2 linked regions of the Lepisosteus oculatus genome follow. The protein of the gene in region 2 interacts with the protein of the main gene of each other region in a pairwise test. Links are inferred from orthologs where the notes say so. Each region holds a gene or a part of one and is shown on either strand. Other genes may lie near its edges.

Region 1 (8,103 bases), on a different chromosome or scaffold from region 2:
TCTTAGCAAAGGTAAAAAAAAACAACAACTCAAATGTCAGGACCACTTTTTAAAAATATTTTCTTGTCTCATGATGCGTCATCCATTCTTCTTCAGATAATCACATCTTCAGAACTTTAAATTGACTGTTAGTAGAATACAGATTTTCTCACCGATTGTCACCAAATGTTTCACGTATCACATTTAAAAATAATTCAAAAGTTTCGACAGGAAGCTGAGATACTGCCTCAGGAAACAGGGACACAGTGATTGAAGGAAACTAAGACGTAGTACGTATCCGTCAGCAAATCAGAAGCCAATGAACCGAATAGCCTCTTCTGTTACTTTCCTATTCAGTATAAAGTAGGACTATGAAATTATCACGCCAAAGTACAGAAATAAGATTAAAATCAACAGAGAGGATTGTAAGACACTTCACAGTCTATACTACTCTTAAGGCCTACAGGAAGGCTGGTTAAGATTGTAATGGAAAGAACATTAGTCAAACTAATGACCTTTCAGGACTCCACAGTCAGAAAATGATCATGATTTCATTCAGTGCAAATCTCTCTGACTTTGACAAATGTGTGCAATACGTTGTCAAGTAATAATACCTACTTATTATCCTAGATGTTTCCTCTGAAAGATGCTGGAGGAGAGTGGCTACAGCCACGATTAGACAGGATGATGCAGACATAAGGAGCAACCTTTGCTTTTAAAAAAGCTTTTAGTTTTAAATCAACATCAACAGGTAATTCAATCTTTTTGAAACAAACCTTAGTACATCACATCAGTTGTTCAAAAAAAATGAACAGAAAATATAGAACATATACAGAAATAGTAACATACAATGGAGCAGTGATTGTGGCCACGAATACACATCTGAATCAGAATCACTTTTATTCGCCAAGTATATTTAGTTTACAAGGAATTTCCTCTGGTGTTCTTGATGCATCAAAAACATGCTACATACTGTATGCCATACACAAACAAGACAACAGACATGACTAAAAGCACACACAACTAGGAATTTTGGTGAACCAGAAAGGCAGCCCCATGAAAGAATCTGTTCAAATACCAGGTGTTTCTTGTTTTAATAGACTAGTAGTGTCTTCCTGAGGGACGTTTCTGAAACAGGGGTTAACCTGGGTGGGGTCATCAGCAGTCTTTCCTGCCTGCTTTCTTGCTCTAGAATCTCCAGTAGAGAGCATCTGACAGCCAAAGGCCGCAGTGTGTCTGCAGTTCCCCTCATGAGTGGACAGACGCATTGCCAAACCAAACAGCTACAGAGGCAGTCAGAATGCTCTCAATAATGGCTCTGTAAACCTGTATTACAATTGGCTGAGAGACCCCAATTTTTCAGTTTGGGCAAAAAGTACATTTGCTGCTGTGCTTTCTTTGTGATACTGGAGATATCTGTGTCCCATGTAAGGTTATTAGACATCATTATACCCCAAAACTAAAGAACTCTATCACACCCATAGCCACATCATTGATTACTAGGGACTGAGGTTTTGGAGAATGTTTCCAGTAAGCAACCAGCATTTTCACTGTATGGAAGGTATTAAGCTTTGTGTGCTTGTTACTACTCTATGATACCAATATCATATTATGATATTCATTTGTGAATAGACCTACAAGGATGGTGTCTTCCGCTGCTTGATTAGTTTGATGGAAGAGTCACTTGAGGTATTGCCATTGGTGTACAAGAAAGAGTAATGGGGAAAGTATACATCCTTGTGGAAAACCAGTACGCACAAACAGACAGACTGTAAGATTGCGCAGAGAAAAGACGAACCCTCACAAAATAATTCAAGTTCACAACCTTTTTGATTGTTTTTCTAAATTCACTTACTGGTCCTTTTCAGACTTCAGAATTGTCCCTGTGTACCATTTCTCCTCCATTTGTCACAGCCATTAAAACAGACCCATATTCAAAAAGCTATTTACAAGGTACAGTATGTGGGTCAATAACATTCATTTCTGCTGACTGTAGAAATGTTCAAGGATCACTTCAGAATATTAAGCGATGTGAAATGCATATTGTTTCTACTGTTTCTGGAAGGAGTGACAGTATATACAGTATATACAAGGATAAAAATTCCAGCATGCTCTTGAGGTGTTTGTCTTTAATTATTATATGTCACCAGGTGACTTTCTCACCCTATGGGATAAACAGGAACTAAAATGTTGAATTTGTGTTCCCACTATTATATACATTAAACAGTTAGCCTATAAAAGTTGTCAGGAGTAGACACAGAGCACATTTTATTATTAATTAACGGATTTTACCTTTCCTACAATTCCATTTGAAAAAAATAATCTATAAATCCCGATTTTAACAAATGACGTAGTGCAGACGTTAAACAGTAAGGGACTTCTTAGTGCAAAAAACTTTTTTTGTGCAGTCTTTTGTGCTTTAACTGCACAAAAGAATTACAAACATGACACGCTGACAAATACTATTTAAAAAGTTACTTGGCACCTAAAATGACTTAAAACTCACTCAGTTATGTCACATTTCTTGCACATTCACAGAAGCAAGAAGCTCGCCACGAGCTGCTTTTCCATACGTTTGTTTTGGGCTCATCAGTGATTTCCAGTCATATCTTCCCACTGCCGCACTGAGATTTTGACAGTAGTGAATGAAGTGATATTCACTGTTCACTAGAAATCTGATTACACCCACGTAAACCGCTAAGACAGAGAGCTCGCTGCCGATTCTGATGACTAACAGAAAAATGTTGTGAATCGTTCTTCCCCAGACAGAGACTCGGGCGATGACGAATAGCATGAGGGTCAGAAACGAGACGCATAAAGGAGAGGGCGGACTCTTCACCGCACATTTTACTACCACTAGTACTACCGGTAAAGACAGACTTGTGCAAATCCCGATGAACTAGCCTGAGTGAAGTCACACAGACATCCCTATTACACACTCATCAATTTGACAATGCATCTGTTCCACCACTACAACTGTTTTTACTGTTATTGTACCTAGTCTATTACTAATAACAACGATAAAAGCAGATACACTTTTCATTATTAAAAAATACAATTTAAAATTAGTTAACATGGTCGCTAAACCGCAACAATAATGTTGACTTGGTTCTCGCTGTTACAATTGACAGCGTTCATTTTTCCCGCACACTGATATGTCAAGGAACTGTTATTTTTTTTAATGCTTACATTATTTTCTTAGCCCGAACAACATGTACCATGAAAAACTTCTTAAAACAGTGCGGTGGCGATCACATAGAAAGGCCGAGCAAAACAATCCACGGTAGTTTTTTAGTTCTGTTTGTCTTTCTCGCTCACAATCTTTGACTTCTTTTCTACAGATTTCTAGTCAAAGAGTTTGGCTCAGCTCTTACCTCGACATCTCATTCTGGTCATCCAGCTCTTGGTTTTTGTCTGTTTGTCAGTTAATTCAATTTAAATGCTGGTCGAATCAGAGTTGACAAGTTCTGCCCATCTCAATGCAACCCAGCAGGCGAAACCACAGCGGCGCTTGGGGATGACGTCACGCTCGAAACTCCAGCTTCCTGAATGATCTCACTGCTAAAGCACAAAGTGCATTGGGAAACGAGACGAAGATTTCGACGAGGATGTTCTCCAGTTCCCCCTACGGATTGGAGGTCTAACAGTCAGAGGTTTGTCGTAGTAAAATGTTTTTTTTTCCTGAAACATGACATTGCCACACATCATTTCTATATTATGGTTGTAATGGAAATTAATCAGCAATTTGCTGCGTTTCCATATTCTTCCAGGTTTTTCTGCTATGTGTCTCATATGCATAGAGTTTTGCGAGATCCTCAGGATCTCTTTAGTTGCAGTGGCATTCAATATTTCATTTTGTAACCGTCCTGTGAGACAATGACACTCATCCAAGGAAGTAAATGTGATATTGAATCTTCTTTTGGCTAGACAATCACTTCACATTTGTACCGCAAGAGGGAGCCGTTGTACAATCTTTGTAAAATTGTATTTATTTTTTAAGTAGTGCTGCTACTTCTGCAGCACCGGTGACGGTAATCACAAAATAACTGTTCTCTTTATGTGAAAACTATTTTAAAAAGTTTCAACAGTAGGGCTGTACTAATTCCTTACGTGACGACGGCTCTCTGATCCGACTAATATATTCCATTAGTAACCGCAACACATTTTTAAATTTACCGGGTGACCTAAATCGTGGATGGGTAACTCCAAGTTTGAGATCCTCAAAGCATCCCCCCCAACTGCTCGTAACTGAAATGATTTATATTTAGACGAATGCGAACTACTTGGTTTCATATATCAGAATCAGTGACCAGCCTGGCTTTCCCTGACCTAAATACAGTAATTACCAGTTGCCAGCCTCTTTGAGACACAATGGGTTTTTTTACTTTGCCTGTATACTGAAGCGGATTAACATGAAAGATGTGCACGTTTCTCGAAGTATCTGGTAGCTACGGGACCAGCTATCTTCCCTATCAACAAGCAGTCCTTGCAACCTAAATGTTTTTCCTCTTCCCTAGTCGAAAAAAAAACTGTTTCCTATTTTCCTATAACATGAAAAAAAATGTTTCCTATTCATTACATCAAAATAATGTTATTATGCCACGTGGCAGCCACTTATTTACAGCACAATGATTGATCCTGAACTCGATGATGATGGATGTTAAGAATGCATTAATTTAATATTCAATCACCCAGGCGAATGCAAGGTGAAGAATCTCAAGTGTGGACAGAAATATTATACTGTATGTATGTCTGGTTCAGTTAGGTAATGTGGTGCCTCATGATACTATGAAAGAGGGACAGCATTGTATATAGTGCTGTTCCTCTCTCACTCTGTCCTTGTGTCTGTTGTCAATCTTTAGTCTCACAGTAATTATCCTGCCACTTACTAAATTCCACATTTGTCTTTATCTGTAGAGATTGTAAGCATGGTTCTTGTCTATTTGATTTTTCTTCCAAACTGTGGCATTATATGATCAGCACACACTGTACAGTCTGTGAAAGCTATACAAACACCAGGCTTATTATGCCCTTCATTGTGAGGCTATATTCGCAGGTGGTTCTCTGCACTGACGTTGTTTGAGAATCAAGGACTATCAGATTTGTTTAGCAGTGGTCAGGGTTGTTTCTCTGGCTTTTTTTGTAGTCCCTTTGCCTTTGCTCTTTGTTTTTATAGTCATGGTTTAACCCAGTCAAAGATGAAGAATGAAGACAGATGTTGTCAACAGAAAAGCTCTGTAGTGTTATCAGTATTTCCTGTTTAGAAAAGTTTAGAATATGATTTCCTTTTTGTGTTTTAAAGCAGTTTTAAAATATGGATTATATCCTAGGGAAACAATGTTAATTTAGGTCTCCTTTTGAACAAGACATTACCCACTAGAATTATTGTAAATGAACAAGTGAAAGAACTCTAAATTAACTTATAATTAACTGTTTAAATTGATCTGTGAATAAACTGCCTCTCTATGGCATATGCAGAAAATCAAGAGAAACCTATCAATCTGGTTGCATTAAATAAAGTATGTCGATTTTGGATATATGGATTAAATACTTTTGGTATAATTCGTAAGACCACACATGACCTACTATGATACACTTGAGCAACTTTGATTTATTGAAGAACTAAGTCACTTCTCGCTATCAGTGAGCTACTGCAAAAGATAGTACTTTTCCCAATAACTGTTATGTATTTCTTGCATTTACAAATGATAAATGCAACACATTTCTTTTGATGCTCAATATTTACTATCTCCTTTTTACAATGTTATGCGTGTAAAAATACTAATGCTGTTTTTTTTTATTTTGCTGTGCCTTCATGTGTATGTCAATGCATTCTACTGCATACTGCATTTCTATGTAATAAAGTGTACATACACCTGACATAACATTTTCCTTTTAGAACATTAATATATGTAAAATGAAGAAGGGCACAATTGGAATATTTATTTATCTCATGAGTAATTGCTGTGCCAATTGATGAAAGATATCTACCTGTTTCAGAGGAAGGAAGAAAATAATAGGCTAATTTACTTAAGCCTCTCTCTGGAACCGTTAAATTTGAAGAACAAAATCTGCATAAACGTTGTAAGAAAAGAGATAACGACAGATCATCTTGCTCACTGTTGTTGGTATGTGCATCTCATTTATCCCTTACTTATCTGTTTGAGGCACAGGTAGGTGTGATGTTTAGCAGACTCAGTATGGAGGAGAATTAATAGTGAAGGAGAGGGGGGTGTTCAGTTCTGCAGCCACACTGAGTCACCAGGGCTCGAAGCCAGACTGCAGGACAGCAGGGGCCAGGGGCAGTGGAGGCAGCTCTGTGGGATAGCCTCTGCACGGTTCTTCACTTTCCTCTGTTTAGAGGGGAAGTCCTCTGCCTAGATGTTCTGCTTGTAGTCCCACACCTTCCAGAACAGATTTATCGGTACCGGTTTCAGCAACAAAATCAAATAGAGGTTTTTTTTTTCAAGTCCTTGGTCTGTTTTAATACAGACATTGTAATCTCCTCCAGGAGGACGTTAGAGAAAGTGAATCCAATAGCAGAAGACATTTTGATTTCACTTGTATAATATAAGTCAGTCACAGAATATTCCAGCCAGAACTTACTTTAAAATGTTGCCTCTTTCAGATTGAGGAGCTCTCAGCAGCATCTGTTTCTCAATCAGGTAGACAGTTCTAAAGGATTTTTTTAACATATAAAACTGTTCACAGTAACAGCTCAAACACAGTTCCCATTTCCACACCAGCAGAAAGCGCTTGCCAAGACCTTGTTGTACACCTTTTGACAATATAATAATAGCGCTCTATTAAAAGCCGTCTGATTGGTTTGCTTAATGGACTTATCTTAGATAACAGCTGATTGCTAAAGGTCCTCCAGCTGGATGTTTTTTTGCTGCATACAGCATGACTGTGAAGGTTTACAGAGCAATTGTGTATGTCAGAAGGCTCTTAAAAGGACCGTATGATCTCTTTCTAAAGAGACAAGAAATTGCACTTCAGGATCACCTTTCCAGTGAGAGACAAAGAATGATGGCTGCACGTCTTCTGCCCAGTTACCTTAACACATTCTGCCATCTTCATGTATTTCCACTGTCCAGATCATGGCACTGCGTTCTGACTCCAAGCGTGAATGTCCTGATGGCCTGTGAGCTCACACTTTCAGACCAGGAAACATCAGCTCTGGAACTGACCTACCTAAATTCGCCTGGTCTCCATTAACACGATTAAAACAAGTCTTCTTTTGTTTTATTCTCATTAGCTGTATCCCTGTTCAGATGTGGCCAAGAGTAGCAATGTCCAGGAGACCTGTGAAACCTCAGTGAGATACAGGACAGCAGGATCCCAACCGCAGACTTTGTACCAGTCGTTTCCCCCCCACCTGAACAGGGGTGATGATCATTCTTCATAGACCTTTGGGAAACGCAGTTCAGTCAAGGATTTCCATCTTGCACCTCTCCCCTTGTTCTATATTGTTTGATTAACCACATCTCTGGCATAATTCTAAATATAATGCAGCTTTAGGATTTTTCTCGACATTTGCTATATCATTACTGCTGTATTTGTAAACCCCCTACTTTTGATAACTGACATTGCTAAAGGACTCATTTAGCAATGTCTGGGCAAGAAACCTTCAATTTTATAAACAAATTCAAATAAAGAAAGTAAATGTCTCACCGTATGTAAAAACAGATATATTAACAGTGAGAGAGCTCTAGTTTCAAACCCTCATAGAGGTAGAGATAAGCTTAGTGACCGAATTTGACTACAAGACGACCTTCTGAAACTTTCCTGTCAGCAGATAAAATTTGTGGTAGAACTTCCTTTTTGTCAGATCAACTCAAGCTGTTTTTAAAAACAATTTTAGAACAATGTGACAGTATAGCACAGGGACTGGGAGTCCTTCACTGTAGGCCGGTTTGCTCCCTCTGAACATCATCTGGACAGTCATGGACAGTCCAGGGTCAAAAGTCCATCCCCCACCGGTCTGCCCCCTCCTCTTTCTCTGCCCCATTCTCTAAAGGTTCTCTTTTGTCTATCCCTCTACCTTCTGTATTTCATTATTCTCTAATACTGTTTCCTGCAATAAATGTTTTTAACCCAAGACAAACAACTAGTTTTTTGCAA
Region 2 (7,829 bases):
ATAAACCCTCTTGTCAGAAAAGACCAGCTGTAAGGTTTAAATGGAGGGACAGCCAAACCACAACAGGCTTGTAGGACTGGCAGACAGATCCATCCATCCATTTTCTAACTGCTTCATCCAGTTCAGGGTTACGAGGGAGCTGGATCCCAGCAAGCAATGGAGACAAAGCAGAGCATATCCTGAACAGGGAGCTAGTCAATCACAGGGCAGACAGACACAAACACACACACTCACTCACTCACTCACTCACTCACTCACTCCAGTGCCAGTTTTCCCAGAAGCCAGTTAACCTACAGTACCAGCTCGCCTTTCGACTGTGGAAGGAAAGCCGAGCACCCAGAGAAAACACACACAAACACGGGAAAACATACAAACTCCACACAGACAGCACCCCAGGGCTGAAATTCATCCCAGGACCCTAGTGCTGCAAGGTAGCAATGCGCTAACTACTGTGCTCCTCTGCTACCACGTCAGCAGAACTCCTCTAAATAAAATTAGTAATGACTGAATTGATTTGACTCAGGTAGTTTGGTGGGAATTAAATTAGGATTGTGAAAGATAAGAATTTAAAGGAGCCGTATCATCTGGAGAAAACCGGAGTTCTGTCAAAAGCCACATCAGAAGATACTTATCATGATCACGGCATTTAATTGAGCAGCCGCAAGACTGTTCTCTCCGCGCCCAGCCTAGAGTGACACTGATCTGTCTGCTAGAGGGCTTTATCGCACTCGCTGGCAAATTACCACCCGCCTGCGGGATTCCAAATTCATCAGCATCGGACTTCTAAATTTAACACGCTTCTGTGTTAAATCAGAGCGGCACCTCACCCAGGCTCAGAATACGAACCCTGAAACGGTTCCCCTCACCGTGCAGATATAGAGGACTCCCCAGTATTGTCCCACTTCGGCCTTCGGCTGTAGTAGCGCAAACATTTGTTTTATTGAAATCATGAAGATCTTGTTGGTGGCTGAGGTGCACGTTTTCAGGGCTGTGCGTCAGCTGTACGATGCTGTTACAGAAAGCCGCCTTGTAAAGTCTGTGCTGAACCTGCCCACTAGAGGACGCTAAGGGACACTATGGACCAGAACCACAGTGACTACAGCTCAGGTTCCACACGTTGGGTTGCGTCTAAGCCTCTTCCCGATCATCAACACAGAAACAGAAAAGTATAGGAGGATCCATAAAGGCAGTTTTTAAATTTCACTAGCTCCCTCTCAACTGTTATGATCTTAATGGGAGCTGTGTAAAGTATTTTTGACATTATTAAATTATAGCATAGAAAACCTATTTACTGTATATGTGTAGCTCAATATAACGATTTGTACATCAAAACAGCCCAATGAACTGACTTTTGATGTCCTTTATTTCATCTCGATACTGAATATTTTAGGGCCTTCTGTGAAAATGGGTAATGTAAACTAAGACATGTTATTACTATAAGTTTTATTCCTACTTTTCATTCTTAAGTCATGCCTGCCTAAGTAGTAATAAAAGGAACTCTGAGATGATAAACTGAATTATTTATTTTTATAATAATTTGGAGCATGCACAAAATACTCATAACTATTAGTAGAGTATTAGTAGTATACTCATAACTACCTTAAAGCGCTTTGAGTGGAGTGTCCAGAAAAGCGCTATATAAGTGTAAGCAATTATTATTATTAGTGTAGAATGACCTGCTTATTCTCCATTTCAAAACACATTCCTGCACAACTTAATATGGTTTGAAAAGACATTGTAGCAATCTCAGGTTTGTGCAGAAAAAAAGAACCAGACAAGACTCTAGTTTGACACACAAGCACCTTTTATTAAACCTCCATCAACCTGCTATGCACAACAGAGACAAACTTGATCTCAGGGTTGTCACATATACCAGGGAGGTAAACGGGACACGTACACAGATTCAGGGTGGTTACACATTGAAGGACAACAGACAATAACACAGGTAAACACTAAACTGCTGTTTATACAAATGTGGGATTATTTACATTGCTCATTGCTCTCATGCACCATCCCCTGGCTATAACTCCCAGCCTGCCCTGCGGCACATGCACTACCTGGGTGATCCTCCTCCTCATCACCTGACGAGGGTGCTACACTGCCCTGACCTGCAGCATGCGGTGTCCTACCAATGTCGAACAAACCCCGTAGGCTATATTCGCACTCCACAAGCTGCTGGGGAACCCTGTGTGACCGCCCACTGTGATGTGGTGATGGCTGGCGACCCGTCACCGCTGGGCAGTTCTGGCCCTGGGCACCTCTGCCCTAGCCTGATAGGGTGCCACGCAGTCCCAGTGCAGGACCACCACCCTCCCCCACTTTCACAACCAGACCTGGTAGGAGACCTCACCCACCAACCCCGGACCTGGCTGGGCCCCTCCCATGATGACACCATCTTAGGGCTGAGGCCTTTTCTGCGGCACTGTTTATAGACCCCAACCAGGTCCCCAGGCCCGTAGGCAGGCCCCCTGCAGTGCAGGTCGTAGTACTATATATTATATTGAGCTACACATATATGCTTCTACTAGACTCCCGCCTGTCGGGTGGGTCCGGGCAAAGCTGTGTACCTGACGCATTTGCTGCCGGTGGTCCTACTCATTGTCTGGTCTGGCCGGCGGTACCGGCTCGTCCCCAGGTGGAGAACCGAAGGCCAGGTCCACCAGGGTACAGTGTCTGGAGGTTTGGCAGGGCCTGGTCGAAGCTCGCAGCAGGGACAATCGTCCAGGTAGACAATGCACTGGCTCCTCGGGATCGACGCCAGCATCTGCTCCATCAGCCGCTTGAAGGTCGCCGGGGCGTTGCACAGACCGCACGGCATGACAGTGAACTGCCAGAGGCCTCGGCTGATGGAAAAGGCCGTCTTCAGGCGAGCGTCGGGAGCGAGCGATACCTGCGAGCAGCCGTAGTGGAGGTCGAGGGAGTTAAACCAGGTCGACCCGGTGATGTAGTCCAGGGCGTCTATCCTCAGCAGGGGATAGGAGTGCTTCCGGGTGACCCCATTCAGCTATCGGTAATTGACACAGAACCTCCATGAGCCGCCCTTCTTCTGGACCAACATGACCGGGGCAGACCACGGGCTTGCGGAGGGCTCGATCACCCCTGCTGCGGCCACCTCCCTGATCTTCTCCTTGGCCGCGCTCTGCTTGGCGTGAGCCATGCGTTCTGGCGGGATGCAGATGGGCCGAGCGGTGCATGGCCAGATGGGTGTGGGCACTTCGGCTCAGCAAAAACCCTATGGTATTTCTATAGGGGGCTCTGTCACCAGGACGTTGAGCAGAAGAGTCCCCATGAGCACTCTTGAGTCCCTCTCCTGCAATATCAAATGAGGAAGGAGCTGCACAGCAACTATGGCGCAACTTTGAGTCCCAGGTTTTCGCCAGGGTGTGCCAGAGCCTGGGGATCAACAATAGGTGGACCACTCTGCAGCATCCCCGGAGCGATGGGTTAGTGGAGCGCTTTAACCAACTGCTCTCCACCAATCTGGCCACCCTGGTCTCCCAGCACCAGCAGGACTGTGACTACCACCTCCCCCTCACACTGTGAGCATACCAGACTGCGGTCCGGGAGTCTACAGGGTGCACTCCAGCTTCCCTGACGCTGGGGAAGGAAATGGCCTGGACCTGGCTCTCTGTTTTCTACCCAGACTATGAGTGGGATCTGCAGCAGCAAAGGCATTAAACACACAGCTTTGCTGGGACCCACCTGGCACAGGCAGGAGCAAAAACAGCACTATGAGCCGTACTACAGGGGGTCTACCTACCGGCCTGAGAATCTGGTTTAAATCTACCACCCATTCTACCACAACTCACACTCAGTGATGACACATACACTAGGGTGATAAATGGAACACAAAGGCAGTGTCAGAGTGGTTACACATTAAGGGACAATAACAGAGAATAATACAGGCAAACACTAAACTGCAGTTTACACAATGCGATTGGGATTATTTACATGAGCAGAATGACCTAGTGGTCACTCTCACGCACCATCCCCAGGCCCCTGGTGCCATAACTCCCAGCCTGCCCGGCGGCGCATGCACGACCCGGGTGCACCCCGCCGCATCACCCGAGGAGGAGGTGTTATGTATGTTACGTATTTTTAAAATAATTTTCGTGTGCATTTTTTCTAAAATTATTCCTCATATAGCATTGAAACGGTACAAATTTAAAACAGATGCTCAATGTTTCAGACTTTGAAGGAATGTGCGAGTTTGGGACAGAAGGATTACAGTTATGTATCAGTTGAAAATGGCCCAAAGCACAGATTTATCCCACAAGTGAGTAAATTTCGACTCTGGGGAAACTTCAGCTGTAACATTCTCAGAGATCTGCAACCAGAGAGTCCATTTCAGGGGGTCAGCCAGACAACCAGTGGGGGTCAAGAGAGAACTTTTCATCCCAAGCAGCGCCTGAGATTCACCATCTCACAGGGGCGTCAAGTCATGCTCGATACTGCAGTCGGCAGGATTGTTTACAGGAAGTACACACTTCAATTGTAATAGGATTAAACCACATCCTTATTCAGAGTAATGTCTTTAAAAGCCGTCTTCCATCAAGAAATGGCTGCAAACCCTTGGATTTCATATTTCACTACGCACCCTGATTTGTTACATTACAGTACAGGCGTTTTGACTAGAGACTCCCCCGCTCCAAATGATATTGCTACTTTCTGGAACCACGATATACAGTACAGTACACCGCCACTTATGACGGAGCGAGGGGCTGCGTGTGAGATACACCGATCTCACACACAGCATCGCTCACGCTTTAGACCGGAGGGAGTAACTCACGCGCAGCACCTCTCTCTCTCCCGGGCCCGGGCGCGCAGATCTCGCGAGAGGCGGTTGCCTTGGCTGCAGCGCTGGGTGAAGCTGGCGGGTGAGGGCTGCGCGGCGGTGATTATTGCACCCGAGTCCTTTCGGGCAGCGGGGGGTCGGCAGTGCGCGGGGGCTCCAGCGCGAGTGCGAGGTGAGTACGGAGGCTCTTCTTAGCCCGCTTAACTACGACGAAACGAACCAGAGAGCTGGGGGAGGCTCTGTTTTGGCTAGACTTACGAATGTCATGCTAGGACGAACATCAGCACAGTGGGATAAACTGTGGGACAAGTGCACGGGAGACAGACTGAGAATGACATTAGCGCCTGATGCCTGTGCCACTGGCGTCTGAAGATGCTGTGTGAGCGAGTGAGCGCTACGCAGTAAGTATCAGCGAGTTAAAGCTATCAACGATTGCCCGCTTCCATCTGTGGGTAACCCACATGCAGCGCCAGTCCCGATAGACGGCTATCTAGTTTAGCTTGGCTTTAAAGATTAAGCCAAACATCGGAATAATAGGTGTCAAATGTGTAATTAAGCGATTTTTTCTTACAGGTTAATTTAGAAATTAAATAATATGCATCATTGCGAGACTTAATGCGTGCTCTCAGGACTAGTCTTATTTCTATATATTTACCCAGAGAATGTGTGTTTCGCTGCAGTTAGGAATAGGGATTTTTTGATTGCATGGACAGTTGTCGGCCTGTGGAGTATCCTGGGTCTTGCTGGGGGTTTATGGCGTAGTCCTTTGCTGTAGTTGATGAAACTGCGCACCGCATGGCTGTCCTGCGTCCCGTGCCCCGCCGCGCGCTGCGTGTTTCGCCGTGACACGACTGTATCTCCGTAGGATCGGGGTGATCGGGGGTGCTGACCAGCAGTGACGCCGCTGAACGGACAGTGGCTCGACTCCTCCTGTGTTTGTAATAGCTGGGATGTAAACACTCATTTGTGCTGATGGGCTGACGTCAGCGGTCCACCCCTTCACTTCATAAATTAAACTTTGTCTTCGGACGTACGTTCCTTAAACAACCATAAATGTGCGTTCATCCTGAGGGAAATCGATAACGGTTTCTGATACACGGTTATTCCCGGTAATGAGCAAGAACTGCCTTTTGCTGTGTTTCGGCCTGACACTGCTCCTGACTGTAAGGATGATACTGGCCCAGTACTGTACTTGAGCTGCTGACGTATTTAAGAACTGTTCTGCTCTGCTAGTACTCTATAAAGCTAATTCCCTTGACCGTATTATTGCAATGCTTTTGTTTTACGACACGCGGGATTGGATTTCGTCTTTTACAGAGTTTTCAAAACTTTCCGGATTGATAAAACAGCCACATCTGCAAACAAATACACTACTGACTTTTTAAGCTTCGTGGATCCGCTTTCTCTGCCCTCATATAAAAAAATACGATTAGGCAAAATAAAGTCAGTCTCGTTAGTAGCTTTGTAATCTTTGTTAAAACAGATCGCCCAGTGTCCGCTTGCCTGTGGCTGCGGGCTGGAGCCTCAGAAACGACGAGTCAAGAACGTGCGGTGTCACGAGGTTTGCTATGGCAACTGTGGGACTAACGGCGGTGCCTCGTAGGCTGCAGGAGAGTGACGGGTCGTTTTACCTTTTTAAATTACTGCGACCTGCTTGGTTGGCTGTTGTACTAAATAAACAAGCGAAACAATTCCCGAGTAGTTTCCAAAATAATTCCTTTGTTTTGTTTACTGTGTTTCTTTTAATCGAGTTCGTGCGGTTAAATGCTGATTTGAGTCAGCCATGAGTTATACATACTGTAGTTAACCGTTGTACGAGATGCTGCGGCACTTTGCTGTTTAATTGTTTTACAATATTTCTGGTGTGTGCCTTTTATTGTGTGGCGATTGTGTATAATTTGTTTCGCTGATATGGAGCTCAAAAGTAATGCATTTAAAATGAGAGTAGGACTAGGATGTCATAATGAAGACTGAATAATTGCCTCTGCATATACAGCTTTTCATTTTAAGGATCCCAAAGTGCTTTACGTTTAGAAAGGGACCCTAATTATTCCCCAGCTTCAGTGCAGCCCGACCTGGGTGACACACAGCAGCCCCACTACACAGCAGATCAGGGAGAGAGAGAGACTGGGGAATGGGAGCCTGCTTTACCATCTGAATTAAGGGGCATCTTTAGAGAGGCTGGATTGTATAACTCCAGGGTGGATTATAGCCAGCACACTGAGATTAACACCCCAACTCTTATGAACAAAGTGCTCTTGTAAACATTCACCATGGCAAAAGTGGTTGATAATTTGTAGGTCATACTATGTTTTTCTCAATATGGTATTTGTTTCTCTTGTGTTAGTGTCCTTTTCCCCTGTGCTGTTTTGCACATTGCTGTGCTTTAACCAGGGGACATGCCGTAACTGTTGATAACGGTATCTCCTCCTGACCTGGCCTACTGTATCAGTGCGGCAGAGCCACAAAACAGGCCTTGTCTTCATATTCACAGGGATTCCTGCTTGGAGGAGAGCAGGGTGTCAGCATGTGAGATAGGAACCGTGAGCCTGGCAATTTGGAAACCTTCCTCTGGACTTTATTGTTTGGTACAAGCTGCACTTGTTACATAATGTGATTCTGAAGCTGCAGTTAAGCCCCTTTACTACTGTATGTCAGTTATAGATTTTTCTAACATGGATGGAAGGCTGATTGCCCAGCCTGCTCTGTGAAATAGATGTGACTGAGCTTGAGCAAACGCCTGTCCTGCTGGACAACTGGGGCCCTTGTGCACTATGTCAGACAACGTCACACTCTCCTTGGTATTGTGCCGCAGTCTCCAGATTCAGCGGTCGTTGTGCCTCTGTGTCATGGCGGCTGTCCCCTCCCACTGCCCACTGTGCTTTCCTTCAGCCTGTGACTGCGGCCATTCTGGTAAAGTACTGGGCGGGTCCGAGGCAGAGCCTGTGCATGAGTGCCTTTCCTCTCTCGTTGTCGAGCTGCAGCACGGAGCAGGGTGCTGGGCGCAGGGCGCAGGAGTGGGGGGGGCGACGCC

Evidence for each region.
Region 1: the proteins of usp54a (region 2) and atxn1l interact in binary tests that used the Homo sapiens proteins (3 or more experiments, as listed by UniProt). The link is inferred for Lepisosteus oculatus from reciprocal best matches to the Homo sapiens genes USP54 and ATXN1L.

What each region holds. Positions count from the first base shown.
Region 1 is NC_090715.1:9,892,039-9,900,141, reverse strand, and holds the start of atxn1l (ataxin-1-like), read right to left. Parts: upstream 3,501-8,103; 5' UTR 3,354-3,500; intron 1-3,353. UniProt on the Homo sapiens protein: Chromatin-binding factor that repress Notch signaling in the absence of Notch intracellular domain by acting as a CBF1 corepressor. Binds to the HEY promoter and might assist, along with NCOR2, RBPJ-mediated repression.
Region 2 is NC_090699.1:45,968,086-45,975,914, forward strand, and holds the start of usp54a (inactive ubiquitin carboxyl-terminal hydrolase 54a), read left to right. Parts: upstream 1-4,644; 5' UTR 4,645-4,967; intron 4,968-4,975; exon of another isoform or gene 4,976-5,196; intron 5,197-7,829.